Canis lupus familiaris: one gene and its partners. The protein of the gene in region 1 interacts with the protein of each later gene in a pairwise test. Links are inferred from orthologs where the notes say so. Each region holds a gene or a part of one and is shown in the gene's direction. Other genes may lie near its edges. The genes, in order: TRIM32, PTPN11, UBQLN1, CLIP4, SCGB1A1, UBE2V1 and PTCD2.

The links.
Region 2: the proteins of TRIM32 (region 1) and PTPN11 interact in binary tests that used the Homo sapiens proteins (3 or more experiments, as listed by UniProt). The link is inferred for Canis lupus familiaris from reciprocal best matches to the Homo sapiens genes TRIM32 and PTPN11.
Region 3: the proteins of TRIM32 (region 1) and UBQLN1 interact in binary tests that used the Homo sapiens proteins (3 or more experiments, as listed by UniProt). The two-hybrid records come from large-scale screens. The link is inferred for Canis lupus familiaris from reciprocal best matches to the Homo sapiens genes TRIM32 and UBQLN1.
Region 4: the proteins of TRIM32 (region 1) and CLIP4 interact in binary tests that used the Homo sapiens proteins (3 or more experiments, as listed by UniProt). The two-hybrid records come from large-scale screens. The link is inferred for Canis lupus familiaris from reciprocal best matches to the Homo sapiens genes TRIM32 and CLIP4.
Region 5: the proteins of TRIM32 (region 1) and SCGB1A1 interact in binary tests that used the Homo sapiens proteins (3 or more experiments, as listed by UniProt). The two-hybrid records come from large-scale screens. The link is inferred for Canis lupus familiaris from reciprocal best matches to the Homo sapiens genes TRIM32 and SCGB1A1.
Region 6: the proteins of TRIM32 (region 1) and UBE2V1 interact in binary tests that used the Homo sapiens proteins (3 or more experiments, as listed by UniProt). The link is inferred for Canis lupus familiaris from reciprocal best matches to the Homo sapiens genes TRIM32 and UBE2V1.
Region 7: the proteins of TRIM32 (region 1) and PTCD2 interact in binary tests that used the Homo sapiens proteins (3 or more experiments, as listed by UniProt). The two-hybrid records come from large-scale screens. The link is inferred for Canis lupus familiaris from reciprocal best matches to the Homo sapiens genes TRIM32 and PTCD2.

Annotation. Positions count from the first base shown.
Region 1 is NC_049232.1:70,873,600-70,876,230, forward strand, and holds the end of TRIM32 (E3 ubiquitin-protein ligase TRIM32), read left to right. Parts: coding exon 1-1,075; 3' UTR 1,076-2,131; downstream 2,132-2,631. UniProt on the Homo sapiens protein: E3 ubiquitin ligase that plays a role in various biological processes including neural stem cell differentiation, innate immunity, inflammatory resonse and autophagy.
Region 2 is NC_049247.1:10,377,068-10,380,567, forward strand, and holds part of PTPN11 (tyrosine-protein phosphatase non-receptor type 11), read left to right. Parts: intron 1-233; coding exon 234-301; intron 302-811; coding exon 812-963; intron 964-3,500. UniProt on the Homo sapiens protein: Acts downstream of various receptor and cytoplasmic protein tyrosine kinases to participate in the signal transduction from the cell surface to the nucleus. Positively regulates MAPK signal transduction pathway. Dephosphorylates GAB1, ARHGAP35 and EGFR.
Region 3 is NC_049222.1:76,346,940-76,351,119, forward strand, and holds the start of UBQLN1 (ubiquilin-1), read left to right. Parts: upstream 1-1,380; coding exon 1,381-1,560; intron 1,561-4,180. UniProt on the Homo sapiens protein: Plays an important role in the regulation of different protein degradation mechanisms and pathways including ubiquitin-proteasome system (UPS), autophagy and endoplasmic reticulum-associated protein degradation (ERAD) pathway.
Region 4 is NC_049238.1:23,011,028-23,014,527, forward strand, and holds part of CLIP4 (CAP-Gly domain-containing linker protein 4), read left to right. Parts: intron 1-623; coding exon 624-767; intron 768-3,500.
Region 5 is NC_049239.1:54,708,844-54,712,779, reverse strand, and holds the start of SCGB1A1 (uteroglobin), read left to right. Parts: upstream 1-1,136; 5' UTR 1,137-1,238; coding exon 1,239-1,293; intron 1,294-3,936. UniProt on the Homo sapiens protein: Binds phosphatidylcholine, phosphatidylinositol, polychlorinated biphenyls (PCB) and weakly progesterone, potent inhibitor of phospholipase A2.
Region 6 is NC_049245.1:37,205,139-37,208,638, reverse strand, and holds part of UBE2V1 (ubiquitin-conjugating enzyme E2 variant 1), read left to right. Parts: intron 1-1,609; coding exon 1,610-1,758; intron 1,759-3,500. UniProt on the Homo sapiens protein: Has no ubiquitin ligase activity on its own. The UBE2V1-UBE2N heterodimer catalyzes the synthesis of non-canonical poly-ubiquitin chains that are linked through Lys-63.
Region 7 is NC_049223.1:54,585,507-54,589,764, forward strand, and holds the start of PTCD2 (pentatricopeptide repeat-containing protein 2, mitochondrial), read left to right. Parts: upstream 1-1,458; 5' UTR 1,459-1,475; coding exon 1,476-1,587; intron 1,588-2,657; coding exon 2,658-2,750; intron 2,751-4,258. Other genes in the region: MRPS27 (28S ribosomal protein S27, mitochondrial), read right to left, coding at 1,288-1,360. UniProt on the Homo sapiens protein: Involved in mitochondrial RNA maturation and mitochondrial respiratory chain function.

The DNA of each region.
Region 1 (2,631 bases):
AAAGCCCCGGACAGTCAACATGGAAGATTCCTGGGCCATGGAGGCTGCAGCCTCTGCTGCCTCTACCTCCGTTACGTTCAGAGAGATGGACATGAGCCCCGAGGAAGTGGCTGCCAGCCCCCGGGCCTCACCTGCTAAGCAGCGGGGTGCCGAGCCAGCCGCCAATATGCAGCAGTGCCTCTTCCTCAAGAAGATGGGGGCCAAGGGCAGCACTCCAGGCATGTTCAACCTTCCGGTCAGTCTCTACGTGACCAGTCAAGGCGAGGTGCTGGTTGCTGACCGGGGCAACTACCGTATACAAGTCTTTACTCGGAAAGGCTTTTTGAAGGAGATCCGCCGCAGCCCTAGTGGCATCGACAGCTTCGTGCTGAGCTTCCTTGGCGCCGATCTGCCCAATCTCACTCCTCTCTCAGTGGCCATGAACTGCCAAGGACTGATCGGTGTAACCGACAGCTATGACAACTCCCTCAAGGTGTATACCCTGGATGGCCACTGCGTGGCCTGTCACAGGAGCCAGCTGAGCAAACCCTGGGGCATCACGGCCCTTCCGTCCGGCCAGTTTGTGGTAACTGACGTGGAGGGCGGAAAGCTCTGGTGCTTCACCGTTGACCGAGGAGCAGGGGTGGTCAAATACAGCTGCCTCTGTAGCGCCGTGCGGCCCAAGTTTGTCACCTGTGACGCGGAGGGCACCGTCTACTTCACCCAGGGCTTGGGCCTCAATCTGGAGAATCGGCAGAATGAGCACCACCTGGAGGGCGGCTTCTCCATCGGCTCCGTGGGCCCCGATGGCCAGCTGGGTCGCCAGATCAGCCACTTCTTCTCAGAGAATGAGGATTTCCGCTGCATCGCCGGCATGTGTGTGGATGCTCGTGGTGACCTCATCGTGGCTGACAGTAGTCGAAAGGAAATTCTCCACTTTCCCAAGGGTGGGGGCTATAGCGTCCTCATTCGAGAGGGGCTCACGTGTCCGGTGGGCATCGCCCTCACTCCTAAAGGGCAGCTCCTGGTCTTGGACTGTTGGGATCACTGCATCAAGATTTACAGCTACCATCTGAGAAGATACTCTACCCCTTAGGGGATAAGAGAGAACAATTTCTTCTGCTTCCCAGCCAGCCTCCTTCCCCTTATCCCTCGGTTATTAGTGATACTGTAGAGTGCACTGGGCCTGTGTCTTTATTCCCGCTGGCTAGTCCTAGAATTTTAGAAGCTGTCTTTTAGTGGGTGGGTTTTTTTTTGTTGTTGTTGCTGTTGTTTTGCATTATTTCCCTCCTAAATTTAGAGTTTGAACAGATGTATTTCCCCAAACAGGACATCTGATATGGGGTTAGCTGAAGTTTGATTAGAACTTAGGCACTTCTGAGGCTTCAGTAGAGAGCCTTTTGCCCCCGTGTTTGGAATTTGCCCTTGTACTGAATCCTTGTTGATTTCCCTCTTTTGGCTTGGCTAACCCTGGTCTCGTATTTCCCTCTTACTATAATGCACTTCATACGTGACACTTTCTCTTCGATTCTGCTGCATTTAGTGTGCAAGCTCCAGTGGGATCTGCTCCGCCTTTCGTTTTAGACATCATATCCCTGTGGCATGATGTCGCCGGTCTCTCGTCACCTTTATCAGAGTGGAAGCTCATTCATTCAGTGCCATCAAGGGAGACCTGCAGTCCTTTTGGGAAGCAGTCCGTCTTGGTTCTGGGGGTTTTGTGCCATCTTGGATCGGTCTCTAATTGCAGATGTGACAGAGAATGGATTGACCCTAGTTGGTTGATGTTGAAGACTTTAGCCTGGAAAGTGCTTGCCTTTTCCAGCAGCGTATAGATTGGAATTATTTCAAAGCACAGAACGATGCGAATAAACGAAAACAAATGCTATAACCTAGTCAGTTAATACTCTTGGATAGTTTCTAGAGCTCATCGTTTTTCATATTACCTCTCTCCACTGGCCTCTGCCAAGAGTTGTCTGCAGAACTGCGCAACACAGGCCAGGGTCCACCAAGTGGGGAGGTGGACACATCTCATTTTCATTAGAACTGTTCGGTCTTTATTCTGTATTTTCCTCAAGTGACTGCCTAATACTTGGTTTTGAGATTTATTTCCATTTCTCCATCAAGAATTAAATAATTGATAACTGTTTCTTCATCGCTGGTGTTCATGTCTTTTAATTAAATATGGGATTTGGGAGATGAGAGGGATAAGTTGTACCAGGCTGTTTCGCCTCCGTATCTGACACTGCAGTCTTTGAGACCATTAAGGACCTACCCCCAATCAAAATTCAGCCTAAGGCACCATTAGGTAAAGAATTCCAAAGTTTACTCCGACACACACGTGTACAGAATCACCCCCCAAGGTCTACAGAGTCACCAACGTCCTGTTAGAAATTGAGCCTCCGCCATTTTATATCTTTGTCATTAGAGTTCAAAAAAGGAAGAAGCCTTGTCTTTTGAAAAAAAAAAAAGACCAGAAGGGGGTGAGGGAATTTGTGACAAGGATCCTCAGGCTCGGTTTTTACTGAGCAACAGAGTTTTGCTCTGTAGATGCAGGGCTGATGGCAAGCCAAAGAGCCATCACCCTGCTTTTTAAAGAAACCAGATTTGCTAAGCTGGGCTACTCAAAATTGTTTTGTTTTTTTGGTGGTAGCA
Region 2 (3,500 bases), on another chromosome or scaffold:
AAGGTCAAAGAGGTATGGGATTTGCCTTGGGAAGTCCTAGAGAAGCTGGGCTCCACGTGTGGATTGGACTAACCCCAAAGCCCTTAGCTAATCTATTCTCAAATACAAACAGGCAGTCTTATAAATACTCTCAAGAGCAGACATTGTTTCTGTTCATATTAATAGTGTGGGTTTGAGTCCAAAACCCCTATGAATGGCTCCAGCGTCATTGCTCTTTGTCCTTCTGTCCACAGTGCTGGGATTGGCCGGACAGGGACGTTCATTGTGATTGATATCCTTATTGACATCATCAGAGAGAAAGGTGGGTCATCTGGAGGGCAAGAAGTTGTAAGTTCTTTTTTAGTTTATGGAAGGAAAGTGCTAGTGAAAATAGCCTGGAGGAGAGAATTTGAATGTTAAAACATTTTTAAAAATCTGGGCTGAAGACTTTGACTTTCAGTTGTTTATAGGAGAACAAAAGTGATTCTATTTGAGCCTTTGACATAAAATGAAGCCCAGGAGCCGTGGTCCCGCTGCTGTGGTCTTTTGTTGAATATGCAGTGGTGGTCTCTGGGGTGGTGCTGATGGAGAGTCCTGACCTCCGATACTTAATCAGATCATTTTCTGGAATCATTTGTATTAGTCAGAAGGCAGTGTAGCCCTTGAAACATGTTCAGTTAGAACATTAAAGACTACATTTAAAAAAAAATTAAAAAAAAAAAAAAAAAAGACTACATTTACTATATCTCTGAGTCTGCTAAAAGTTGTGCATTAAACCACTTCATCCTGGCCCCACAGTTTCTCCTAATGCTTCATGGTGCTTGCTTTGCAGGTGTTGACTGCGACATTGATGTTCCCAAAACCATTCAGATGGTGCGGTCTCAGAGGTCAGGGATGGTCCAGACAGAAGCACAGTACCGATTCATTTATATGGCTGTCCAGCATTACATTGAAACACTACAGCGCAGGATTGAGGAAGAGCAGGTACCAATCCTGGAGGGGGCTGGTGTGCATATTTGTACTTTCTTTTCTGGGCAGCTCTGATACACTCTGCTTTTGAGCAGGATGGGCCTCTAAGAGATAGCTGTTACTGTTCAGGAATGAGAAACTCATTCCCAACCAGGAAGGGCCTCTCTGGAAACTATTCCCCACTTCACAACTCTGGTATTTCAGCAGAGGGTAGCTTGGAGATAGCTGCTATCATCCTGGCCTGGCAGATTGGGGAACTGCCACGTGGAAAGGTTAGGATTTTCCCAGACAACATCCCAGGATTCTCACATGGCAAGTTTGGAAATGAAAGCCTTGAAGTTTCCAGCCTGTTCCTGTTTAGATCCAGGCCATCTTTATCCTGATCCCATCTCTTAAACAAATGCTTCACTCTTCATAGCACATAGCAGTTTGAACCATAAACTTGGTTGAGTTGGAAACAGTGAAATTTCAATTTTAATAAGCCATGCATAATGAAGAAGAATGTGGAGTTGGAGCATTTCCATTTGAAGCTATTCATAACAGACACAAAGCTGAGTTAATTAAGAATACGCTGAGATGAGGGAAATGAGGAGACTGCTCCTTTGGGGATCTGGGCATCTCCCCCCCACCCCCCCACCCCCAACTGCTCTGCTGCAGACAGGGGAATGTCTAAACAGCAGTGATATCTGCCTACTTTACCCTGTGTATTGCCTTCCAGAGAACCCGGCTTCTCAGAATGGCACCTGCCAGCGAATTGAGAGACTTCTAGCCTAGCAGAATAGCAGCCACATTATCAAAAGCTTCATTAGCCAAAGTAAGATATCTGTCAGCTTAGTAGGTTCTCAGTTCACATAAAAAGACTAGATTATGGGGTGCCTGGGTGGCTCAGTCGGTTAAGTGTCTGACTCTCGATTTCAGCCCAGGTCATGATCTCAGGGTTGTGAGATTGAGCCTGGCACTGGGCTCCGTGTTCAGTGCAGAGTCTCCCTCTGCTCCTCTCTCTGCTCGTTTGCATTCTCTCTCTCAAATAAATAAGATCTTAAAATCCAAAACACTAGGGGCAGCCTGTGTAGCTCAGCGGTTTAGTGCCGCCTTCAGCCTGGGGCATGATCCTGGAGACCCAGGATCGAGTTCTGCGTCGGACTCCCTGCATGGAGCCTGCTTCTCCCTCTGCCTGTCCTCTCTCTCTCTATGTCTCTCATGAATGAATAAATACAATCTTTAATAAAAAATTCAAAACACTAGATTGTTTTCGTTGTACAAAAACATCTTCAGCAACGGTGTACGTATAGAAATATAAGGTCAAATAATCAACATGGTACCAGTTTTGACCTTCAGTGCTTTAAATCTGATTTGGTGTTATCGTAATTGTTACAAAATATTTAGATGGTTGCTATAGGCTATTTTCTATTTGTCTTCCAATTATACTGAATTTGGGCCAGGAATAAAACATGAAGTTGCCCATATAGAAAGACCTCCTAATAAATACAAAGAGAATGTAGCACACTATTGGTACAAATTCAGGAATATCTTGAAGCATATAATCTTGTTTGGAAAAGCTAGGGGAAAAGCTCTCTTTATTTCATTCAGAAGTTTTGGTATTTATCCTTGTTTTGGCAACTTTAGTAGGGACTTCCCCAGCCTTACAGCACTTGAGATCTTCTGAATTACCGTATATAGTCTCTCTGACCCTAAATCTCAAGATGTAATTTGGATTTAAGAACTCCTTTAAAGATAGCTTTATCGGGCAGCCCTGGTGGCGCAGCGGTTTAGCGCCGCCTGCAGCCCAGGGTGTGATCCTGGAGACCGTGGATCGAGTCCCACGTCGGGCTCTCTGCATGGAGCCTGCTTCTCCCTCTGCCTGTCTCTCTCTCTCTCTCTCTCTCTCTCTCTGTGTCTCTATGAATAAATCAGTAAAATCTTTTTTTTTTTTTAAAGATTTACTTATTTATTCATTCAGAGAGAGCTACCCTAAATCAGTAAAATCTTAAAAAAAAAAGCTTTATCACCCCAGGGTCAGGAGGGGGTAGAAAAAAGCAGAACATATTCCTTGATAATTTAAGTCTTATAGAATATCGAAACTGGATGTCACTGATAATCCTATTTGAAGAGTGCTTCAAATGAATGCATGCATTCATTCGTTCAGCCAGTACTTTTTGGTGCCAATATGTGCCAATATTGTCCTTATTAGCACATTAACTGCTCTTTGGGATCTGAGCCTTCAGAGTTTAAAAAGATGGGTTGGGGGATCCCTGGGTGGTGCAGCGGTTTGGCACCTGCCTTTGGCCCAGGGCGCTATCCTGGAGACCCGGGATCGAGTCCCCCATCGGGCTCCCGGTGCATGGAGCCTGCTTCTCCCTCTGCCTGTGTCTCTGCCTCTCTCTCTCTCTCTCTCTCTCTGTGACTATCATAAATTAAAAAAAAAAAAAAAAAAAAAGATGGGTTGGCTTATTCATTTTTAAAAATGAGATCCTATAACGTGTAGTTCCATTTAATTCCATGTATGAACTTACTACCTGATTTTGTGGTAGAATTAAGAAGTACCTTCTTCT
Region 3 (4,180 bases), on another chromosome or scaffold:
AAAAACACAAATACAGAACGTGTCTTTGCGTATTTGGGTCACTGTGGGCTGTCTGGGTTTCCATTTGCGCAATACTGATTAATAAAGCTAATGTCCTGGGTTCTATATTCCTTGCAAGTCATCTTTAAAGGCAAATGACGTCATTTCAAAGCCCGAGTTCTAGGGGGGGGGGAGATAATTAAATTATTTATACCCACACTCTACTAAAAAGGATTTTTGAACCTAAAATCTGAACTGCAGGAATAACTTGACAGAATGTAAAACGAACACCTCGGCTTCATTCAAGCGCCCCAGGTGGGGGGGGGGGGCAGCCCTTGGGCCCCCGTTTCTGCCCCCGTACTTTGCGGGGCAGCGTCCAGAGAATCCGGGGCGCTCGCGCAGGCTGTCCGGGCGGGGGGCGGCGGCCTGTCAGCAGAGGTGGCCTGATCGCCAGACCCAACCGGCTGACCCGAGGGCGGGCCGCCCGGGCCGCGGGGCAGTGACTCCGCGGGATCGCGCAGGGTGGCTACGGCCCACTCTTCCTTCGTTACGACGAAGCGCCTTCCTCCATTAACGTAGCTTCCACCTCCCGCGCACCGGGCAGTACGGGCAAGCATCTCAAAGGCCACAAGTGGGCAAGCGGACGGCTGTTACCGCGACACCCGGCACTCCCACTGCCCTCCCCGGGGTCCCGGGTGCGCGCAAAGGCGAGGCGAGCGCTACGGCGCGGAGGGGCCGGGCACGGCCGCCGCGGGGTCCGCAGGGGGCGGGGGCCGCCGCCGAACCACAGCGCGCAGGCGCGTCCGCGTCGCCCAGTGGTCGAGCTCCTTTCTAGTAACTTCGCTAGGCGTGAGGTCATCACCGCGCGCCGTTACCGTGCTTCCCAGAACACGCTAATTTGTTTTTTAGCCAAGGGGATGAAATGAAATGAACTGATCCCTCCCGCCCCATTTTGCTTTTAGCTCTCCTCTCCGGCTGCGCCTACCCTCTGGGCCATGGAGCCGGGACAGGGAAAGAAAGGCGGCCGGGGCTGGAAGCGGGGCTGGCCGGGCATGACTCGGCGACGCCGCCAGCCGACTTACCCGGCGTGCCCTGCGCGGCGCCGGCCGAGGGACGTGGGGGGAGGGGCGGGGAGGAGGAAGAGCGGCGGCGGCTGCGGATGTCGCTGCGACCGAGCGGCGTCTGAACTCACGGCGGCTGCCGAGCGCCCAGCCCGGGCCTGCGCCGGAGCCCGCGCCGAGCCCCGCGGCCCCTCGCCTGCCAGGGCGGCCCCGCACCGGTTGTCACTGAGGCGGCGTGCCCCGCGTTCTCCGCTGCCCGGGCCGGCCGGCTCTGCCGTCTGCTGGCTCCCCCTCGCTCGCCCGCTCCCTCCTGCGCGCCTGAGTCACCGCCGCCGCCGCCATGGCCGAGAGTGGTGAAAGCGGCGGCCCTCCGAGCTCCCAGGACGGCGCCGCCGCGGCCGAAGGTGCAGGCGCCCCCGCGGCCGCTGCGTCCGCGGAGCCCAAGATCATGAAAGTCACCGTGAAGACCCCGAAGGAGAAGGAGGAGTTCGCCGTGCCCGAGAACAGCTCCGTGCAGCAGGTGAGGGCCGCCCTGGCCGCGGGCCCGGGTGGGGGTGGCGGCGGGACCTCCGCCCGCGGCGGGAGGAGACCGTCCCCCGAGGTGCTGTCGGCCCGCCTCGCGGGTCTCGCCCCGAATCAGATCACACCCAAGTTGCCGGGTGTGCTCCTTGGGACACCGCAGAGGCTTGTGGCGGGGCCCCGCGGCCTGCTGTGGGACGCGCCGACGCCGCCCCCTCCCCCCGCTCCCGCGTCCGCGGACCACCAGCCCCCGCCCCAGCCCCCGCCCCCCGCCCCCCGCCCCCCGCCCCCCGCCGCCTCCCTCCCGCTGCTCACAAAGGAAAGGGACCACCGCCGCGCTCCGGGCGGGGTGGAGGCCGGGCTGGGCGAGGGTTCGCGGTAGCCTCCTCTGCGGTTTTGTCTCCTGAGTTAAAAAAAAAAAAAAGGGTGGGTGGGTGCCCATTGTTTCACCTGCTTGCAGCTTAAGGTCGATTTTGGGGCGAGGAGCACGTGTACATTTAGTTCTGCGTTTTGATTGCTGAAATCTTTTCTACCTTCTAATCTTCAAAAAAAAAAAAAAATTAACCATGACGTAGAAATCGTTTTCAGCCACATCTTAATAGTACTAGCCTTAAGGAAGAAAGGTGGATGACTTTCATTGATGACTTGCGGTTTTCTTTTTAGTGTTTATCATCCCTTAGGTGCCAGTCATCGGGAAGGTTTTTGTTTGATTTTAGAGGGATGGTAGCCACGTTTTGCAGATATTAGCGGTGGCAGTCGAATGCAAGAGAACAAAATTGGAGTTAATGGAGAATATTGCCAGATAATTTACTGCTTAAAATTGGGTTCGGGTGTACAAACTTTGCTGTTCAATTAAGAATCTTGAAGAATTCAACAAATTTGTTGTAGCTTATTGTTGAAAATATTTTGCATAGTTGTTGACCTCTGACGATCTAAAATGGGAACAGTTTGAGGGAACAACAATGTGAAATGTACATGTAAGTTTTCTCATAAACTGTAAATGGGATATTGGTTTACATAATCGTTCTGAAAGGTGGTGTAGAGTAGAGCAGGAAATAGTGGTGTAAATAGAGTAGAGCAGTAAGTAGAGTGTACCATCAACTGAGAAACTTTTACCACCTACTGAATCACCTTTTGTGTGTGTGTGTGTGTGGGGGGGTCCCCAATTGTATAAAAATTTCTCTTAACATTTTAATATTTTCTAACATCTAGCAGAGTTGAAAGAATGGTACAGTGAACATTCATAGTTCGTCACCTACAATTGACGCTTTGTTTTATTTGCTTTATCACGCAACTAATCATGTATTACTTCCTTTTACTTTTTGAATGCATTTTAGAGTAAGTTGCAAGTATCATTAAATGTTTTCAACAAATACACCTATATGATCCAAAGTTTTATCAAGATGTAGAACTTTACAGTTCAATCACTCCCCTCCATACATCACTGTTTTGATTTTTTTCACCATTAGTTTTTGCCTGTTCTAGAACTTCACATAAGTGGGATTATATAGTATATATTCTGTTGGGTAAGGTCTTTTCACTCAGTGTAATGTTTTTGAGATGCATTCTTGTATATGCCAGTAATTCCTGTTTATTGCTGTGTTTTCCACTGTGTGAATATGCCATTAATTAATGCATTCTGCTGAGGGCCACATGGGCTTCTTGCAGTTGGTTGCTGTGAACATACAAACTTTTTTTGTTGGACAGAGGGAGTTTTTCCTGTTAAAATTCTTAGAAGTGGAATGACTGGGTGATAGCGTAGTTGTAGGCTTAGTTATGAGAAACTGTCTTTTTAAAAAGAGCTTCTATCGCTCTTTTTTAAAGGCTGGTCGAAAAGAAACAACCCAGATGATTAACAACCCCTTAGCTGATGAATAAAGAGTAAAATGTGATATATTCCCCTACAATGGAATACTATTCGGTATTCCACCAAAGGTTCTACCAAAGGTTCTTGGGAGTTCCTGTTGCTCCACATCCCTGCTAGCATTTGATAGTGTCAGTCTTTTTCATTTTAGCTCTGCTAGGTATATTAGCTTTTGAAGCCCTTAGATCTTCTTTCTAGGATTGCTAATTCAGGTCTCCACCTTCATGCCTGCTTTCAGCATTTTATTGTAAAGGATTGGAAAGAGTCAATATTTTATAAATAGAAAAGTACATTTAAGTTATTTTATGAGGTACTGTCTGTTAGGATTTATATATATATTGTGTGTGTGAGAGTGACATTAGAATTTTAAAGCCTGTGGGAGTTTTAATTTTACTTTTCTGTAACCAAAGTAAATTGGTTAAATTAAAGCTTTTCCGAAGCAACTTATTCTGATGACATTTGAATTTTTATTCTGAAAAGTGCTTTCTGTTGTCATTCGTTCATTAAAATTAGTGCAGAGAGCAGAAGGGAGCTTCCAGGTAACGTGTCTAATTAGCTTGTTCCGGGATTTTGTAGTGCTCTAGGTTATAGTAAAAGATTTTGAAATCTAGTTCTCTGAAATATTCAGGCAACATATATTCTAGTCTTAGAAAACATTTTTATCATTTGAAACTTTTAGAATATTCGTATACTTAGATATAACAAGTATTGCATAGATTTGAGCCTTTTCTTGTTAAGGGAAATTGCTGTGTGTCAG
Region 4 (3,500 bases), on another chromosome or scaffold:
TAAACATGACTTTGGTTATAAAATGCTGTGTGGTGCATCTGTGTACACTTAGATTAGAGAGCTACCAGGTTAAATTAAAAGAGAGATGAAAAGAAAACATCACAGTGTAGACAGCTTGGTAAAAATGTTTAAAGTGGTTGTCAGCTCTCAAATCATTCGGTGAATAGAACACGAATAGAACATTGAAGAGTATTCCTGTTTGCCTTCAGGTTGGCTCAAAACATTTTAACACTACCTTTTTGTTATCTTAAAACAAATTAAGAGACTTCTTAAGTGTAAATCAGGTTAGATTCTGCTAAGCCATCTAAAGTGGGAGGTGAGAGAGAAAGTGGGTAGAACAGGGAAGTCGTCGGTTTCTGTTGGCAATGGGTGCTACTCTCCTGCGTGAGAGTGTCCTCCTCCAACGCGAATCCTTACAGTACAATTGCTTGGGATATAAAATCTTGTCTGTATGAATTACGGCACAGTTGGATGAAACCAGGCACTTAAGTCAACACTAGATAATCCACAATGGAGAAAGCTAACTGGATGAGCTTCAGAGGGTTTTACCTGGAAAGCCATCTTGTTGGTTCACTTCTTGTTTTCCAACCTTTGATATGTTCTTTTCCTTTACCTTGTTTTAGTTACTCTGCTTGGATCCATCAGCAGCTCCTCCTCCACATCATCTTTGGAACACAAACCAGGCTACACCAAGAAACTGAATGCACGTAACAATCACAAGAAGACAATGAGCAAAAGCCCGTCTGTCTCATCTAGAGCCAGTGCTGGTATCTATGGCTTTTTCAACCAGGCTTTCTTGGTGTTTTTTATCTTGGTTTGTTTGTAAGTAGATTTGATCTTTTTAAATGTGTAGAAGGAACCTTTTACTTCAGTCAGATTGAACTACTTGCCCTCTTCTGTCTTTCCCTTGCCCCCCTCCCCCGTCCCCCCTATTCCCCACTGCCCCCCATGAGCGTCCTTGGTCTCCCTGCCTTCCTCCCAGTGCTCCTGCCATGTTCCTTGTCTGGACTCCCCTCTTCCCTTCCACATGCTTGTAATGCCTCTGACCCTTTAAGGTGCATTTTAGAATTTTATGGTAGATACTTAGATGTGTGGAAACCATGTGGTTATTACCTTTCTTATCTCTTTTCTAATCTAGACCTAATAATAACTAACATGTATTGTATACTTATTATTTCAGGTTCTATTCTAAGCACTTTATAGACCTTATTTCACTTAACTCTCAAAACAAACCTATGGGTAGGTACTATTACTATCATCCTCATTTTATGAATGAGGAAACCGAGGCTTAGGGAGGTAAGTCATTGGTGCCTGATGCCAGTTTCCAAGTGGCACAGCTGGGCTTCACCCTGAGGTCTGTCTGCTGCTTTCTCTGCTGCTGGTATGGTTTTGCCTCCATCCCAAGCACTTTCTGCTCTTCTTCTTGCTCCCGGGTCTCCAGACCCCTCAGGGCCAGCCTGTAGAGAGCCAAACTGATGCCCGTGGCACAATTACGGTGTAAGGCTGTTCCTGCAGGGTGGTGACCACACTGTGGACCCGGCCCACATGGAGCCTCATGCCAGCGCTCTTCATGTTGCTGCTTCACATAGGACTTTACACACATTCTCACTTAGTTTAACACTCGAGGCTCTATCCCTCTGCATTTTGTTTCTTACATCTTGCATATTAGCTTTTCCACATATTTTTGTATCATCTTCATATTTAAAGTTCAAGTCTTTGTTTAAAACTAAATAGGAGAGGGTCAGTGGCTCTCCTGACAGCTTGATGACGGTAACCTGTTTGGATGTGGCTTTTTAATTCATTCTGAGTCCTGCATAACCTTATTCAGTCCCCCTTTCTCCAGTTATGTGTAAGGATATAGGAAATGCTTCATAGCAGGCATCTTGCCACAATCAACATACATGGAGTACATTGCATTCACTTATTTACCTATGTAGCAGATGTGTCCAGAAAAGAAGTGAAACCATTTTGACATAAATTGTTTTCAATGAACCTCATAATAGTTACCAGGTTCTCTTTCAAATACTTTTAACAGTTGTATTGAAGTAATATTTTATTATAGAAAATGTTCCGATGGGATTATTTTCTCTTTAAAATACATACTGTACAGTGATGGGGAGGAACCCTCAGCAATAGCATTGACATGCCAAACCCACAGGTTGGGAGACTCTAAAAGTAGAGAACCTAGAAGCTTTGCCTCAAACTGTTTACTTAGAACTTGTATTCTGAGTAGATGCTCTTTCCTTAACAAGCATTTTCAGGCCTGAGAAACAGAGTTGTGAGGACTGTGACGTAGCACTCCTGCTTATCCTCATTTTATTCATGTTGCAAGGCCTCCTTCACTTGGCTTTTGACATTTATTTGATTTTAAAATGTGTATGTGGGTGTGGAAGTACATTTTTTTTTTTTTTTACTTTTTTATAAGAAGTAGTTTTTAGTGTACCTACATATTTAACTTTTTTCCTTTTTCACAAATTTAGGCCTGATGTAGGCTTAGATAGTAGTAGGTGAAGAGACCTGTCAGTTAGAGTGAGAAAGCAGACCTCTTAGGAGGGGAAGGAGAGAGAATGGGAGATCCCTGAGAGAAAGTCCATGTCTGGGGCCTCAAAGATGTTTCCCTGGGACACTTTTCTAGAGTGAGTAGATACTTCATTTTCTCATAGGTTTGCATTTGAGGGATGCAGACATATTGGGAGGTTAGGATGAAGAGCAGAAGGAAAAGGTTAGAGGTGTGGCAGAGGTAGAAGAGGAGGTCTGTTTTCTCAGCATTGCTGTATCCTGTGATGTTGAATGTGTTGCCCTTGGTCCATTGCATAGCCTGGGAACATGCCTCAGGACTTGTGGCCTGAGGGCCCAGGCTTTAATCCTGGTGTACTGTCAACTGCCTGTGAGCACCATGCCTTAATTAATTTCTGAGTATGTATCTTCTCTATAGTTAGAATTCTATGGAAAGCACTTTGTAAACTGTGAAGTGCTATGGAAATATTAGCTATTATGAGGACCTGGGAGTTTTAGTATAGCACTTTATCCAGACATTCTTCTCTCTGGGTTTATGTTCCTCATTTGTTGCCATGGCTAAAGCCACCTCCCTTTGGTGGTGTCTTATCCTCTGTCCCCTGCCCCCACAGAGGCTTCTTTAGGCCTTTCTAGATGATAACTGTTCAAGTCTGTTTATGGGTGGATGGAAGAAGCATGAAGGGGCCCACTCTTTCTCTGTTAGAATTGAACCATTTTCTAGACAGTATTTCTCTAGGACTTCTGATGTTTAAATGATTTCAGGGATTAGGCTTGAATCAAGGTGAGGGGGAGTGGTTTAGTTCCTAATAAGGAAATCAGTTTGAGCTCATTGGAAACTTAGAGCAGTTTTCACATTCAGATCACATTCCTGTATGTATAACTCACACTGAATCCCAGTGAACTACTCTAATTCTAGCATTTTAGTAGATAAGGATTGGTACATTACAGCCATGAGCCAAATCCAACCTGCCACCTATTCTTGT
Region 5 (3,936 bases), on another chromosome or scaffold:
ACATACTAAGACAGAGTCAAATCACTATGTGGGGAAGCGGGGAAAGAGGCTCAAATGATAAGCAAAGGCCAGTGGACAAGGACCTTGTAGATCACACTTGAATTTTACGCTGTTGGCAAAGAGGATGATTTCAAAGGGTTTTAAGAAGGAGAATTGACATGATCAGCAGGTTTTAGAAAGATCATTCAGCTGGCCTTCCTGCAGATGGCCAAGGAGGGCAAGCTAGGGACGGGAAGCTGTTCGGAGTTGGGTCTGGCCAGCCCAGGCCTGTGTCCTAAGTCACATGCACTGGAGAAAGAAGGGAGCAGCTGTAGGTGTGGCCTCTGGAGGGCAAAAGGGGCTGCAACCAAAGTCTGGAACCGTTCACAGGTAACCACAGTCAGTAAAAAGCAAACATTTGAAGAACCAGGATGATCATGGAGGAAATCAGGAAAGAACAGGGCCGTGGGAGTGCAGGAGAGAGAACAGTTCAAGAAACAAAAGGTCAAAAAGGTCAAAGCCATGAAGAGGGCAGGTGAGATAAGGCCTAAAGTGCCCATGGATTTGGCCATCAGGAGGATAAGACATGAGAGCAGCTTCAGGCGGACACAGACTCAGCCTGAGGCAACACATTCTCCAGTCTGATCTGAGGCTTGGGTTTCTCGGGGGCTTTCCAGAGCAAGGCTTTATCTGTCTGCGTGTTTCTGTCCAGGGTCGCCCTGAAGCCTGACCACAGAGATGGATGCTCTGGTCCACATGACCCTCCAGCTGCAGTGGGAGGAGCCCAGTGGAGCATCAGGAGTCCCAAGCCGTGTGTAAGGGGCCTCAGGCCTCAGTTTCTCCTGGGGTGATAGGTCTGGGTGGACTCTGCAATTGCCTGGACTGCTCAGGGCTCAGGTTCAGTGAGTGTGGCACAGGTAGCCGGGCCTCCACACCCTCTGACCTAGGTCCTCTTGTGGCTTCCACTTGGCACTCCGGGTTTCCTGCTGTCCAAGTGCCTCATTTATGTGAGGTCAGTTCCAATGAGGAAAGCCACCGGGTTGAGAAAAGAGAATATTTACCTTTCCCACCAAGCTGATACCCAAGTAAATAGTGTGGTCCCATCCATGGAGCCCAGGCCCCACCCCTTTCCCTCCCTCCAGGTACAGCCTGGAGCATTTAAGAAGGCACCTCAATGAGCATGTCTCACACAAGACCACCGGGTCCAGAGACAGGCCAGGGCCTCCTTCGCCAGCCTCCTTGCCAGCCTCCTGCCCATCATGAAGCTCGCTGTCATCCTTGCCCTGGTCACCCTGGCTCTCTACTGCAGCCCTGGTGAGTTCCCAGAGACCCCTCCCCCAGGCCAGGCTCAGGAACCCTTCCTGCACCCTCCCTGGTTCTGCTTAGGACAGGGGACAGCTGTTTAGCTGGAATGCTGACTTCCAGCCAAGAAGCCGGGTCTGCGAACAGGCCTATCTCGGATACTTGGGGAGCACACTGAGCCGGGGAGGAAACCTGGAAGGGATCCCATCTTCCATAGCCAACAACTCAAGAATGACAGGGTCAAAACAGACTAGAGGCTGGAAAGGAGGAGATCCCGTATGGAGATTCCCGTAGGCATAATAATGAGCTCCTCAGAGCCCAGTCCTGGTGAGAGCCCAAGATGCCAAGAGACCTCGGTACAGTGCTGCCTTCACATTTGGGGTCTGCACACCACTCTGGCAGCCAAAGGGGCTAGAAGGAGCTACAGAGCCTCATGTCTCCAAAAGAAATCCAAGCTAAGGCAAGATCTTCCATTCTGGGCTTAGAGGAATATTCTAGAAAGGGATCTTCCCTTTGGGAAACTGCCAAACCAGAGTAGAGTTTTCTAAACATTTTCGTCCTCTGCCAAAAAGATTAGGAGTCTCTGAATAGTTGCAGCTGTCACTATGAGGGAAGGAATGAGGGAGAGGGAGGGAGGGAGAGAGAGGGAGAGAAGGAGGAAGAGAGAAAGAGAGGGAGAGAGAGAGAGAAGGAGGAAAAGGGGGGAGAGAGAGAGAGAGAGAGAGCAAGGGGGATCCCACCTCTCTCAACCCCGTGATCTTTTGGGAATTGGTTTTTACTCTGTATCAGCCTCTTCTACTGCTTTTAATAAACAAACACAAACAAAAAGGTTTTTGGGGTTTTGTTTTTTGTTTTTTTAGCCAATTTCAATTAATCCACTTTGAAAGTTTCATGACATCTATGGCAGTAGGTCTGATGACCCTGGGGGTTGGTGGCAGGAGAGTTGGAAAACCGAAACCAAGATGCACTGGGGACAAGTATTGTTCAGAGATATTTGTCTTTAAGGGGAAATAACATCATTTTGGACTGACATGTACAGTTGACCCCTGAACAGCATAGGGCTTCAGCGTGCTGACTGCCCCCCACACATTCAAAAATCTGCCTATAACTTTTGACTTTTAACTACTCCTAGCCTGCTCTTGACCAGAAACCTTACCAATAATATAAATCGCTGATTAACACATATTTTGTATGTTATATGTATTATATACTGTGTTCTGACAATAATACCCAACTTTTTCTTAATTTTTTTTCATTTTTTCTAGGCTATCCATTTCATTCGTCTTTCCAAATTGTCGCAAATCTCAAAAAAGATTTCCTTTTTTTTTTTTTAAATACTCTTTGGGGTATTTAGTTTTTTTTTAAGATTTATTTATTTATGATAGACATAAAGAGAGAAAGAGAGGCAGAGACACAGGAGGAGAGAGAAGCAGGCTCCCTGCAGGGAGCCCGACGTGGGACTTGATCTAGGGACTCCAGGATCAGGATCGCACCCTGGGCCAAAGGCAGGCGCTAAACCGCTAAGCCACTCAGGGATCCCCTCAAAAAAGATTTCCAACACACCTATTGAAAAAAAATTCACATGTAAGGGGCCCCAGGCAGTTCAATCCCATGTTGTTCAAAGGCCAATTGTACATTAATTAGATCTCAGGGCTGTGCATAGAGCAGGCAGCTCAGCAAGGTGGGGCTGAAATATGTTAGGGGGTGGATCTGGGATGCATGTGTATACTTGTCTGTGCACACAGGTAATAATAACAATAATAATATCTCCCATTTATTCAGCACCGACCATGTGCCAATCACTATTCTGAACCCCTTTTCATTCTTAACAATAACCCTGTGAAATTGGGATATTATTCCCATTTTACAGATGAGAAAGTGGAGCCACATAAAGATAAAGTACTTTGCCAGGTGACATAGTAAGTTGCAAAGCAGGACTCTAAGTTCTGGAGGGCATCTGACTTGGAGTGGCCACTTTGGGGTCCCTGGAGTCCAAGGCAGGGAAGCAGAAACTTTGCACACATGGCAAAGAATTCCAGAATGGGGACTGAGACTCAAGGCATAGGAACCAGTGACTGCCCCACATGTTCCTGGGGCAGGGGCCTAAAGGGGGAGCACAATCCAGGGAGCACTCCAGGCGGAGGGAACATAGTAGGGCCAGGCATGGACACAGAGGCTTGTGGGCCGGTGAGTAAGTGCACCACAGGGACCCAGAGCTCATGGAGGAAGCCTCTTCTGGGCCAGCTCAGGGGCTTGCACTTGGCCCACGCAAGTACTTCTTTCTGTGTGGCCCGACTGCCCCATGCTTCCCTGCACCAGCCACCTCCCCACCCCCGTGGCAAGTGGCTCAGACCATCACTAACCATTGGTAAGAGGCATGTTACTGGCAGAACAACAACCAGAAACCCTCGGTAGCCTCTTCCCAAACCCCACATTATGTAAAAGATCAGATCAGCAACTTCTTTCATCAGTGCTCTGCCTAGAACTCTAACGGAAAGAACAAATGGGGGGTGGGGGGGAGCCTGGGTGGCTCAGCGGTTTAGCACCACCTTTGGCCCAGGGCGTGATCCTGGAGACCTGGGATCGAGTCCCACGTCAGGCTCCCTGCAGTGAACCTGCTTCTCCCTCTGCCTGGCTCTGCCTCTCTCTCTCTCT
Region 6 (3,500 bases), on another chromosome or scaffold:
ACTCCTCTGTTCAGAACTCCAGTGGCTTCTCAGGTCAGTAGTAGTTGGAGTCCTTAACGACCCACTGCTCTTCCATCTCACTGACTCAGTTTTAGCTGAATTAGGATCTTGCTGTTCTTTGACATCCCAGGCAAAGTCTTACCCAAGGGTCTTAGCATTTGCTGTTTCTTCATTGGAAGACCCCCCTGAGCTGTGCATAGGTCATGCTCCTTCATGTGAGGTCTTAGTCATGACATCTGGTCTCAGTAAGGCTTTCTGTGATCACTCCATTTAATGTTGTAGCTCTTCCCCCATTACTCCCTGCTCCAGAACTCCCAACAGCTGTCCTCCTATATATATATAGTTCGTATTTTTGTTTTGTCATTTTATGTTTCCCACTAGAAGGTAAGCTCCATGAGGACAGGCATTTTTGTTTTGTTCACTGCTTATTCCCCATTGCCTAGGAAAGTGCCTGACCTATAGTGGATTCTCGGGTATTTACTCCAGTTGAATGAATAGTAGCGGGAGTCCCACCTTAGAAAACACAAGGTATACTGGGAACACCTCCCAGTCTGGAGTCTCTCCAGTGGGTTTTCCTCCACGGTTACGTGGTAAGTGCTGCTCGCTTCATGGAGTTTGGCCAGTTGGGGGCTCAGCATTGAAGGCAAGAGAGAGCTTGTAACTTGTCTGAATCTGAGGGGTTTTTTCCCCCAGAGGTAATAGTTCAAATGCCAGGGAGGGAGGTGGGAGGAGGGGAGAGGCAGGCAGGATTGGTTGGGAGAGCATCCCTGGGAGAGTTACTTGGTGCCCAAGCACAGGAAGAAAATTGCTCTCCCTGCCCTCCCACAGCCTCGTCCCCTACCTGGCCCCAATGCCTCGGCTCTGTTCTGGAAAACACCCAGAAATGGCTCAAGCCTCAATCTGAACTCAGGTATAGTAGCTTGAACCTATGAGATGTGTTTGTGTGATTCCTTCCGTGAGCTACTTGCCAGGCTTTGGAATTTCAGAAACAAGTAAATCAGGGAACCAGCCACCCTCCTTTGGCTTTTTCATAAGAGAGAAACTGTTTTGAATAGTTGAAAATTTTATCCTTGGTGCCTTCAGTTGACTCTTAGCTGATCAAAAGGACACCATTTTTATTTTATGCAGCCCTGGCGGCTGTTCCTCCTGAGGTAGTTTGAGTGTCATTCCAACAAAATGCACACACACCCTTAACCTCAGAAATGTGTAATAAGAATGAAACAAAAGCAGTAGCCTCTTCTCTCCTGAGGCACTTAATCCTCATGATACCGATTTTGGTGGTTTTCATCTGTTCTGGACCCAAACTGATCAACATTTTGACATGTAAACTCTTGAAATTTATCAAAGCTGCGGGGCCGGGGGGTGGTGGTGGTCCTTCTAGGCTTGGTTCAGTGGTCACATCACCTGAAACAAAACCACGTGCCCCTTCCGTGTGGGTGTGCTGGTCGGTACTAGAAGCTCTGTAAGCAAGTTGGAGGGATGACAACTTTGAGCCATTTTTTGCATGTTAGCATCTTTATTTCCACGTAGTAATAATGAGCAGCTAGATCCAGGCTTACAGGTTCCCCTGGAGTTGCTAGTATCTTGAATTTCTTTCCATTTATTTTAGGAGTAAAAGTCCCTCGCAATTTTCGACTGTTGGAAGAACTGGAAGAAGGCCAGAAAGGAGTAGGAGATGGCACAGTTAGCTGGGGTCTAGAAGATGACGAAGACATGACACTTACAAGATGGACAGGGATGATAATTGGGCCTCCAAGAGTAAGCGTCGAGCTACGGCTATAAATGTCAATGTCTTAAATTCACTGTGCCTCCTTTTAAGAAATATTAGCCTTATCACGGAAAAAGCTCACCAATGGTATATTTTCTGAAATGTGGCTATTCTTTTTTGACCAGTTTCAGTTTATATATTTGAACCTCCTCTGATGCTGTTTAATCCCTCTCATGGTAAGCAAAAACCTGTTTAGACTCATAGTGTGAATTTACATAACATGTAGACAGGGAGGTGTGAGGTCATTACACCCTCACGGCTAGTTTAGAACAGACTCTTGGGCTTATCAAATAACAAGGCCCCAGATACAGTAGCCAGCGTTCCGAAGACAGCATCCAAACAAACTTTGGAACGCCTTCATGGTTGTGGTTTTCATTTACAGTTTCCCAGGTCTGCCACACACTCATGTCCTAATTCATCAGGCCATTCAGCAAAGGCTTATTGCCTGCCTGGTTGGCTCTGGTCTCTTCCAGGCACTATGAGACCCAGAGGCCTTTGCAAAGAAGACAGAGACAACAGGGATGAGAAAATTGACCTCTCTTTTAGAGCTTTGTGATTTGTGAGAGTTCCCAGGCTTTGTAGTACCAGCTAACTTTTTAGTGTACATAGTAAAACCTCCAAGAAATGTCATTGAATTCTCACAAGAACCTGTTGTTAAGAGCTACTATTGTGTTGTCACATCCAATTTTACAGGTGACAAAACAGAGAAGTAAAATTACTTGCCCAAAGTCACATAGCTGATAATTCCCAAAGGGGTTCTGAGTCTAGACCCTGTACTCTTAACCCTATGCTCCATTATCTCCTGTCTGTTTAGATTTTGAGTTTTCATGTGTTCCCATTATAGAATTTTCCAGAGTGTTAAGTAGTAATATGAGGTAGGAGTGAAGAAATAGATTCTCATAATGTGACACTTGTTTCAGACCATGGGAGATTCCGTCTGAATGTAACAGGACCTTTCCTGTGTGTGCTCAAAGATGGTGGCAGCCAGTCATTCTTTTCACTGTGTGCACAGGCTCTGCACCAACTCTGTGGGAAGGAGAAAGACATAGGATGTGGCCCTGGCTGAAACAAGGAAGAGGGTCATGTTCATTAGGTGTTAGGACAATCTACCGTTCATCTTGGACTATCGTAAATACACACAGTGAATGACTGGCTTTGCTATTTAACGTTGCTTCTTGAGTCATCTTTAACCCTGTGGTTTTGTTTTTTGGGTTTAAAAATATATATATTCAATTTACTGTTTTTTACTCATTTCTTTATCTTTTTAAAAAATCTCTGAAAACTAGGATTTATAAATCTATTAAATACTGAAGAAAACCTGATATAGAAAACTCGTTTCTTCATGGAGATCATTTCTTGCTGTTTCTGAAAGCCCACTGTATGGTGATGGCTTCCTTCACTGCATTTCTTCTTTTCCTAAGAATGGTTAGGTTTCTTGAGGGTGAAAACTATTCTTCCCTCCTCCTTGCTCTCCAGAGCACCTGGAAATGACTCGGAATGGGGCAGTTGTTCAATAGATTTGTTCATTAGCGGACTGATTTTCAGGTTCTAACAAATTAAGAATGGACCAGTGTACAACATTGCGAATACACTAAATACCACTGAATTATACACTTAAACAAATGAGCCACCAAATTCCATTGAAAATATTCTGTTCTACCTACAACACCTTAGGTTACCCTGCGTTTCAGTTTAACTCTTTCCACAGGGGGCTTGCTTAGTGAGTGGCTAC
Region 7 (4,258 bases), on another chromosome or scaffold:
TATTTAATAGCTGTTCCTAAAGCCTTGTGAACAGTGTACTTTTTTTTTTTTTTTTAAGATTTTATTTATTCATGAGAGACAGAGAGTGAGAGGCAGAGACCCAGGCAGAGGGAAAAGCAGGCTCCAAGGCAGGCGCCCAATCACTGAGCTATCTGGGCTGCCCCTACGTGTTGGTTTCTAACAGGAGCTGGAGAAGGTATGCTGGAAAGAGCAGATAACAGGCGCTGGAAACATCAGTTGTGATTACTGCATTTTAGTCCTATAATCCTGTACACGATTTATCTTGTATAAATGTCCATTTTTTTCCCCGACGTCTGTCAACAGATCCGTTTAAAAACCTTTTGAGTGAGGCGCCCTTTACTCAAATATCTTAGCCCAGTCGATCCTTGAATAATACCACATTGCACGGGTCCACTTATACAGATTTCCCCCCCAATCAATCCAGTCTTATAAATGTAATTCCCTATAAGGTTTTGATAACCCTTCCTAATATAGGCTACAACTACATAAAACATGTGTTGATGGACTTGTGGGTAAGGTCAACAGGAGGCTTGAGTTTTGGGGTGGAGTGGCGGGGTCAAAACTTAAACACAGGGGACACCTGGGTGGCTCAGTGGTTGAGCATCTGCCTTCATCCCAGGTCGTGACCCCGGGGTCCTGGGATCGAGTCCCACATCGGGCTCCCTGCATGGAGCCTGCTTCTCCCTCTGCCTGTTTCATGAATAAATATTTTTTTTTAAATCTTTTTAAAAACAAAGACTTCAGCACAACTTTTCAGCTGCCTGGGGTCCTGCCTTAACCGCTGAGAGGTCTAAGGTTCACCTGCGCCTTAGAGATAGGTACCTGTCGGCTGGATACAGAGCAAGGTCACTGAAAGGTTGTGCCTCGGGCCACCACGTAGTGGGAAATCAGTTCTGAAACGCTTATCCTACGCGGAGCCCGAAGGTCTCCCCAAGTCTGCGGAGGTAAGGCGTCACCCTAGGCCACCCCCCAAGGCCCCGAAGCGGGGAGGGGGGCACGTCCTAGCTCTGCGGCGGGCAGCGAAGAGATGGCCGCCCTGATGCAAAGCCCTGCAGGTCACCTGCAAGAGCGCGGGCGCCACGGCCTCACTGCGCACACCTCACAGGTAAGGGGACGGGCCCGAGGCCTCCCTTCCTCCCCCGCGTCACCCAACGCTCCAGCCACGAGATCCCGGAAGAACTTCCCGCGCTGTCGAGAGCCCGCAGCTTCCCGTCGCTTAAAGGAAGAGTCTCAAGGTGCCTACTAAAGGGGGCACCTGCCACCCACCTGCCAGGGAGCGCGAAGGCAGAGGCACGTTCCGGGCCAGAAGGAAGCCGCGCCACACTATGGGCGCCGCCATCTTGGAGCGAGTCCCTCCCCCTGCCCCTCCCCCGGCGGCCGCGCAGGAAGGGGTGTGGTCACGCGCCGACGCCCCGCCCCCTCGCGGCTCCCGTAGTTGGCGCGGCCCGGACAGCATGGCGGCCGTGGCTCGGCTGCCCGAGCGCGGGCTGCTGCGGGCGCTGCGCGGCTCGGTGCTTCCCGGGGCGGTAGGCTCCGGCTCCGCGGGCTGCCGCTGCCCGCTCGGAGGTATCCCCGGACTCTTGTGGGGACGGGAGGGAAGAGAGACGGGCGCCTCCGCAGCCGTGGCTGGTGGGCTGGAGCCGCGCCCCCGTCGCCCCCCGTGTGCTTGGCGGGCCGGGGGCGGCCGGGCGGGGGCCTCGACCTGGGCGCCGTCGTGGCCGCCGTTGCCGGGAAGCCCCACCCCCCGCCGGGTCTGGGAGTCGAGGCCTTCGACTGCGAGCTCGGGACCCCGGCCCTGCTGCCGCTCATATCCGAAGGACCTCGCGCGGTCAGCTCTCTTCGTTTGTAAAATTGCCCCTGTTTACTAAGCTTTATGGAAAAAACGTGAATGTGCCGGCGAGGGGAGGGGGTAATAGTTGGCGCTGGAGCGGCAGTGTCCCGGCTGCCTCCAGGCTTCCCGCCGTGAGCCGGTTACAGCCCTGCGGGAGGGGGTCTCTAAGTGGGCGGGGCGGAGCCTCCTAAAGAAACAATGTATCTCTTCTACTTAGAGCTGCGGTCGGCGACTTCCGAGACCCCTTGAGGATTGAGGATGCCGACCGGCCTGTTCCGAGGGGCTGTAGCTCCTCACTTCCCTACTGGGCAGAACCAGGAGGGCGGGGGCGGGGGCGGGGCGGGGGCGGGGGGGGGGTCACACTCCGCGGTGGGCTTTGCTTCCGCCAGCCCGGATAAACCAAAACGAGATATGCCGGTTTGACATTTAAGCCGTGACCTTTCGTGGTGGGTTTGGTTTGTTTGTTTTTTAATTTATTTTATTTTTTAATTTTTTTTAGCCCCTTGCGATCCCATAACTAGACGGGGAATGTACATTTATGTTTCACCTCCCAGGTTCCTCTCCACCCATCTCCATACAGTAAATCAGTAGCTCCTTTCTTAGGCACAAACGCACCTTGCTGAGAATCGGAATTCTCCGGTAGCCTAGAGATGCACACTTTCCCACCCGCGCGACCCTATTGGTAGCTGTCCAGTGGGAATATTCGTATTGACTGAAGATCAGAAAGGGAGTCAAGTTCTACTCCTGTTCGTGGAGTGTGAGACCACAAAAAAAATGGTTTTACTTTTTTTCTTTAATTTTTTAGCTAAAAGATACCTACTTACGGATAATACTGTGAAGTTAAAAGAATTTCAGCATAAGAAGGTGGCTATTGCATCTCATCTTCCTGGAACCAAAGGTAACTGAATCTGTTTTGTTAGTTGTTTTGGTGATGTGTACTTCAAGTTTTTTTCTGTCTTAGTCCCTATTCAGTGTCTTTCGGTGAATAGGGACTTGTGTCTGAGAAAAAATTGACAGGGTTTATTCTTCATTTCATAGTCTACCCTTCAGTGTGCTTTTTTTCCCCCCTTTTAAAGATTTTATTTATTCATGAGAGACACACAGAGAGAGGCAGAGACACAGGCAGAGGGAGAAAGCATGGGACTTGATCCCGGGACCCCGGGGTCACAACCTGAGCCAAAGGCAGACGCTCAACCGCTGGGCCACCAGGCGTCCCTCAATGTGCTTTTCATCTCACTTTCTACTACTGCAGACTCTACAGCTCTCCTTTTGCCACTTTTCCCAGGATCCTAAAGAAATGCTAAAATTAGTGTTGGAACCAGTCCTCTCTAGATCCATGCCACCCAAACTCAGGGTCAGGGATCAGCAGCGACTGGGAGTTTCCTAGAAATGCCAAACTTGAAGTCTCAGACTGTTAATAATCCTGAGAACTGCTCAATATGATTAGCTTTCACATTTTTGATGCACCTCTGAGTCAAAGGTACGTTTTACATAGTATCTCCAGTATATACTACGTGTCTATATACTAGTGAAATATAGTGGAACAACACTGTCCAGTGTGTGATGCATTTTTTTAATATTTGAGAGGGAGTGAGGGTGGGGGAGAGAGAGAGATAGAGGGAGAGAGAGAACCTCAAGTGAGTTCCTTGCTGAGTGTGGAGCCTGACACAGGGCTCGCTTGATCCAGTGACCCTGAGATCCTGACCTTACCAGAAATCAAGAGTTGGAAGCTGAACCAAGTTACCCAGGTGCCCCCTATGATGCATTTTCATATTTTTCTACTCTGCTGAAAAAGTCAATAGGCTAAAAACATTTTTTTTTAGATTATCAAAATATTAGTCATTGTTGAGCCTCAGTGATAGACACATGAGAGCATAATGTCCTCTCTCTATTTTTGGATATGTTTGAACATTTTTATTACAAATAGCTGAAAACACACCACCACGCTAGGTCTTAATTCCTTTCAGCATCTGAGAAATATTGATGAGTTCATTCCCTCTCTCCTTCACATTTTTTCCAGTACTTTAATTTCTTTATGAACATAGCAAGACTCTCTCTCTTGAAATAAATTTAGTTTGTCCCAACTGGCCTTTTCAAATCTCCTTCCTCTCACTGTCAAATGCTTATGAGCACCTAATAAACACTTATTGCCCGTAGCCCTCCAGAAATCTTTCCTGACTCCCCACTAATCCCTTGCTCCATTAGACCACCTGTGAAATGACAAGATAATCCTCAGAAAGTGAAGGAGGAGATACAAGTCTGCAGCATAGGGAGACTCAGTCTGGATTTTACTTCAGTCTTCTTTTTTACTCCTAGTCTTTTGGAGCTTTGTGAAGTTGATAGAATCAAGGGTTCACGTCATTTTTCTAGTTAGATCTAGTTGTCATAGTCATTCGGAAGCTATGA